Danio rerio: one gene and its partner. The protein of the gene in region 2 interacts with the protein of the main gene of each other region in a pairwise test. Links are inferred from orthologs where the notes say so. Each region holds a gene or a part of one and is shown on either strand. Other genes may lie near its edges.

Region 1 (4,103 bases), on a different chromosome or scaffold from region 2:
TAGGCATCATTGGTTCCATTCTTGCCCTTTGGTTGCAGGTCTGTGGCTTGGAGAACAGTGGCTTGGACATGGGTTGGAAACCACTTTTGCGACTGTTCGCCCAATGACATGATGAATTCAAGTGTAAAATTATGGACTTTGGTGTGAAGTGATGAAGTGTAGAACTTTAGTTTGGCCTTTCCATTTTTCCTTTAGCTTCCAATCAACAAGAAATGAGCGACTGAGAGGTAATACAAACGAAAGTTGTTCAAGGGCAAGTGAAGAGCATATTTAGCATTACAGTCACATCTATTAATGGAGCAGGTAATGATTTTGTTACACTCCGCAAACACTCCACATTCACCCCGCTTCAACTTAGGTCACCTATAAACAAAGACAAAAGACAGAAAACAGTGTGAAAAAAACAATAGTGCATTTGACTTATATTTTTCAATATAATGTTAATTCATGATAAAATAAATATTACTTTATTTATATTTCTACAACTATATTGTACAATTAGTATTGGATTCATGTTAAGTAAACCATTTACAATGTAGAGATTGCATTAAGGTAAAACAGAAAGAGAGAGACAAAAAAACACCAAAATAAATCAACAGAAAATAAATAAAAGTACAATGATATTATATTGAATTAAGATAGAATTTATGTCAATAACAATGATAATCTCTGGGGGTTTTTTTACTCTATATCGACCTAAGAGCCAATCACACAGCAGAAATGTGCAACAATAGAGCTCAGGCAATAAACAATATCATATCTAATCATGATAAAATGTATGTCAATAACAATAATAAGCTCTGGAAATTTTTACTCAATATTGATCAATGCAAAGAGCCAGTCACACAGCTAGGCATGGGATGATAATCATTTTCAAGGTATACTGCGGTTTGAAAAAGTCAAGGTTTTAAAACTGGCAACATTTTTTGTATTACCATTCTTAGGTATGTGTAAGATTTTTACTTTACATTTTTTGTTTTGTTTTTTAGGACAACAGTTTCTCCAGCAGTTAAAAATGTCCATTAAATTTTGCTGTTTTAAATTGTAAAGAAATCTGTGTTTTTGAAACTAATGAAGACAGCAGAAGTCAATGATTCATTTAAATTATTTACCCTGACAGTTTACTGCTCTGAAACATTTTTAAAACAAAAGTATATATTGTGTTCAAAAGGAGAAAAAAGTTCTAGTTTTTTTTTTTTTTTTTTTTTTTTTTTTTACCCAGACAGTTAAAAAGAATAAATTTTAGAGCAGTGAGCACAACACCATGATACCCTGATATATCCAAGGTTATCATACCATCAGAATCTTATACCGGCTCATGCCTACAGCACACATATGCAACAACAGGAATCTGTAATTGTGTTGATATTAGGGAAATGCAACCTCACTCAGTATTGTTTATCGAGCTTGATTAACTTTCCCACTAGCAGTATTAGCTCTTAAACTGTTGCTTATTTTAATGATGTATATTTTTACAATTTCAATTAAGTAAAACATTTATTTAAAAAAAAAAAAAATCTGTAATTGTTCATTTTTAGAAAATGCAATAAGTATCTTTGTTTGTGTACTCTATGTCAACGACAGTTCTTCAAAATATTATATTTCACATTGTATATCATAAGTATATTATACAACATTGGAATCTCCAAAAAAAATTGCATAATGTGTCAACTGTTTTTGTTAATTAATAATACTTTAAAATATAATTTAATGAAGCGTCTAATCTTTGTGGCTTCAGTCATTGTTGGGATACTCTTTAAAACAGGAAGCATTAACAACTTATATCAAAATATATATCGTTATTAGTCAATATGAAAAATATTTGAGATTGCAATATTGACATATCGCTCAGCCCTATACAACGAGAATCTAAAGTGTGCTCATGTTGGAGATGTATTGAATTTTCAGTAGCTGAAAATATGTAATTTCATTTAATGCATTTTAGGAATGTTGGGCTGAAATTGCTTAGGGCCCCCAAATTAATAAAACCCCTGACAAGTAAACAAATAAATAAAACACAAGAATAACATAAGAAAAAGCAGAGTACTTCTAACAAACAAGTGAGACATAATAGGCAACACAACATACGTAAATCTGAGACTATATAGCAATTAATAAATCAAATAAAATTTATTTCCCCACAGTGTGCACATAAATTTGTAAAAATCAAATAGACTTAAATTATGTTGCCACATACAGTATACACACAGAAGTATATACTAGTAAAACATATATAGCATATAGTAAAAATATTAAGTAAAAAATACATAATTTCAGAAAAATAACGCTAAATGTGTGACAGCCATCTGTAAACAACTATTAGTAACGTAGCTTAGTAGTGCAAGTTTTTTTAGTGTCTGTAATATAACATTTAAAGAACTGGCAAATTATAACAGCTACATAATTTATTTACTTTTATGTCACTTTTATACTAAGGATTTTTTTTTTACCACCACATGAAGATGATGATCATCATCATCATCATCTTCTTCATGGTTCCCTCCATGCGGTCTCCTCTTATTTAATTGATCGGATATGATAGAAAAGCACCAGTGATGCTCGGCTAGCTGCATTGCCCAGTCTCAGTGGTGCTGTCAAACACCCATTCAGCACAATGCTCTGATATTTACCTGTGAAGCATCTTTCTCGAGCACAGCGAGCGACACCACAGCACGTGTGAAGAGCGCTACAGTGAAACCCTTTCAGTTCTCCACATCTGCGGTAAATGTAAATTAATAACTTACTCTAATCGACACTAATTCATCTTAAACAAATGTGTGGTATTCCACATCAGCCCTGCTCTCGACTTCCTGCTTCCTCATTTCCGCCGATGCGGTCATGGGTCGAAGTGTAGACTCCTCCTCTGTTGCCATGGATTTGATCAGCGCTGTTCCCGGGATTCCGGTGACTGGGCTGAGGAGCATTATTTTCAGCAGTGCGCTTTTGCTTTTGCTTTCAACCAGGTCAAGAATTTAAAAAAGGACAAATGTTGTAATGCATTGTATAATATTGCCAGTCAAATGTTTAGGAAAATTGAAAATACTAAAATGGTCCTTTATATTTTTATTAATATGTATATATATATATATATATATATATATATATATATATATATATATATATATATATATATATATATATATATATATATATATATATATATATATATATATATATATATTATTATTATTATTATTATTATTTTATGTTTTGAGCTCTCTTCTGCTCACCAAGTCTGCATTTAGGCTACTCCAAAATATAACAAAACGAAAACACTGAAGTATCATTATGTTGGAACATTTTCTTTTAAATGTTCCATTTTATGTTTTTCATGGTACTTTTATAAATACAATGTTTAAAATAACAGTGATAATTTCATATACAATATTTTGAAACATTACAGTATATAGGTTTAATGGCAATTTTGATTTATTTAATGTGCCCTTGATTATTAAAATATTTTGAGAAATTATAATAATGTGACATTGGGGTGTTGATATTCATCTCTGAATCACATGAATTAATTACATTTATTCTAAAATGACAATTTATCTTAATTAAAAAAAAAATTTCATTCATTCAATAATTTTCCTTCGGCTTGGTCCCTTTATTCATCAGGGGTCACCACAGCGAAATGAACCGCTGACTTATCCAGCATATGTTTTAAACAGCGGATGCCCTGCAACCCAGTACTGAGAAACACCCATACACACTCAGATACACTAATACACTACAGCCAATTTAGTTTATTCAATCCACCTATAGCGTGTGGCTTTAGACTGTGGGGGAAACTGGAGCAGCAGGAGGAATCTCACACGAACATGGGGAGAACATGCAAACTCCACACAAAATCGACAACTGGACAGCCGGGACTCGAACCAGCGACCTTCTTGTCATGAGGTGACAGTGCTAAACACTGAGCCACCGTGTCACCCCAGGAAAGAAAAAAAAGAAAAAAAAAATACAATATTACAATTAATTTATTGTGTTTTTGATCAACTAACTGCAGACTTTAATTATTTTCCAAATTACTTTAGTAACAACTAAATGGCAAAATATGGATGAAATTTTCCATCATTATAATGTTAAAACTACTTAAAACG
Region 2 (2,323 bases):
AAACTCCAGTTCACTGCGAAGTCTTGTTTCAGCCCCGGCCAGCATTACTGAGTGTTACATCCTGCCTGATCTCCTGTGCATTACTCCAGCCCGTTTCTGACTCTGCTTTGCCTTCTGCCTGCCCACGACCCAAGCCTGATACACGGACTCTGAATCACGCCGCCTGCCTCTGACCCTTGCCTGGTAATTCACTCTGTGTCTGTCAGCCGCCAGCCTTGATACCTTTACTGCTACTGTCGATGTGTGTTTGCACCTTTGTGCATATTGTATGTTTGAGTAAGTGTGATTAATAAATACTGCATAATGGATCCCTCCGTGTCAGTCTCCACGTTACATTGTGACTCCTTTATATTCAGCAATTTTTTTTTTAAGCTAATTATTTGTAACTTTTTTTTTTTTTTTTTTTTTTTTAAAGAAACTAATTTTATTATTACTCATCTTTTAAAAGTACTTTTCACTCATTACTTAAAAGTCCTATTATGTAACTCGCATTACTTGTAATGTGTTACCCCCAACACTGTGTAAATGGTATACATAAATATATCAAATTGTTGTTTTTTTTAAATACTGAAGGTGGAAAGGCATACAAAAGGCACTTGCTTTCTTAATGAAAAAACAAAGACTTTTAATTAGAGTAAAACATGACAAGCACACCAGATTTACCAGATGTTTTAGGAGAATAAAAAGGGTTCATTTTAATCTGTGTAGTATTGTGGAATATTCCGTTGCATTCACACAGAAAAACCTGATTTGGACTTTATTAAAGTAAAGCACTGTCAGCGCAGTTAGATACTGTGTGTGTGTGGTCAAAAAACAAATATATTTATACATGTATATATTACAGAAATAAAAGTGAGAAGATGAGCGGCGGGACGTGATGAGGGACCCGGAGATGACTGACAGGTGAGGGCTGGTCGACGTGGTTACAGGTTTTGGCAGCACTGCAGTTTGTTGCTCTTCTGTCCGTCTGTGGTGGGCGGGACACTGATGTCCACAACGTTATTTCCGGGAGACTCGTCATGGGCCGACCGCTCCGCTATCTGCTTCTGTGATACGATACGGTAGATTTCTGCACAAACAAAGAAAGCAGGGGATTATCTGATCAGTTAGTGATCAACAAAACATTGGAGACATTCATTTTAAAATCTGATTGGCTGAGCCTGAGGCTGTGCAACATGACAGTATATATCATATGGTCAAAATAAAAAGTTTATTATTTCATAGTATGCTCAATCGTTTATGTCGTTAGTTCACAAAATACATTGTTCCCGGTAATAAGTTTTCATCATTTATATGCGCACAATATTACACGTGACTTGTTACAAAACCTGATTGGATAAGTCTTGTTCTAAAAAGCTGGTTGGATAAGCCTCATAATAAAATCTGATTGGACGAGCCTCGTTCTAAAATCTGATTACAGGATGTGTTTGTACCTGTTAGGATGTTTTTGAAGGCCTCTTCAACATTAGTTGAGTCCAGAGCTGACGTCTCGATGAATGACAGGTTATTCTTCTCTGTAAGCAAGCAGAGGGCGTTTGTTTATATTACTATAGTGGTTCTGTTACCAACGCGAGAATTACTACCACGGATCAAATACTTTAGTTGTTGTGTTACCATGGCGACTATAGAATTACTATCACAGATCATTTACTTTAGGTGTTGTGTTACCATAGCGACTATAGAAGTACTACCTCAAATTAATTACTATAGTTGTTTTGTTCTCATAGCAACAGAAGAATTACTATAACAGATCAATTACTACAGTTGTTGTGTTACCATGGAGACTATAGAATTACTACCACAGATCAATTACTACAGTTGTTTTGTTATCATAGCAACAAAAGAATTACTACCACAGATCAATTAACACAGTTTTTGTGTTACCATGGCGACTATAGAATTACTATCACAGATCATTTACTTTAGGTGTTGTGTTACCATAGCAACTACAGAATTACTACCACAGATCAATTACTACAGTTGTTGTGTTACCATAGCAACTACAGAATTACTACCACAGATCAATTACTACAGTTGTTGTGTTACCATAGGGCCTATGGAATTACTACCACAGATCAAGTACTATAGTTGTTGTTACCATAGCAACAAAATAATTAATACCACAGATCAATTACTACAGTTGTTGCATTACCATAGCAACAAAAGAATTACTTTCATAGATCAATTACTACAGATGTGTTACCATAGCGACTATAGATTTACTACCACAGATTAATTACTACAGTTGTTGTTACCATAGGGACTATAGAATTACTAGCACAGATAAATGACTACAGTTGTTGTTACCATAGCAACTATAGAA

Evidence for each region. The genes of interacting proteins can lie anywhere in the genome.
Region 1: the proteins of rab11bb (region 2) and rab11fip2 interact in binary tests that used the Homo sapiens proteins (3 or more experiments, as listed by UniProt). The link is inferred for Danio rerio from reciprocal best matches to the Homo sapiens genes RAB11B and RAB11FIP2.

The regions. Positions count from the first base shown.
Region 1 is NC_133188.1:22,756,299-22,760,401, forward strand, and holds the start of rab11fip2 (rab11 family-interacting protein 2), read right to left. Parts: upstream 2,827-4,103; 5' UTR 2,631-2,826; intron 364-2,630; 5' UTR 111-363; coding exon 1-110. UniProt on the Homo sapiens protein: A Rab11 effector binding preferentially phosphatidylinositol 3,4,5-trisphosphate (PtdInsP3) and phosphatidic acid (PA) and acting in the regulation of the transport of vesicles from the endosomal recycling compartment (ERC) to the plasma membrane.
Region 2 is NC_133177.1:59,799,914-59,802,236, reverse strand, and holds the end of rab11bb (RAB11B, member RAS oncogene family, b), read right to left. Parts: intron 1,515-2,323; coding exon 1,434-1,514; intron 1,070-1,433; coding exon 924-1,069; 3' UTR 609-923; downstream 1-608. UniProt on the Homo sapiens protein: The small GTPases Rab are key regulators of intracellular membrane trafficking, from the formation of transport vesicles to their fusion with membranes.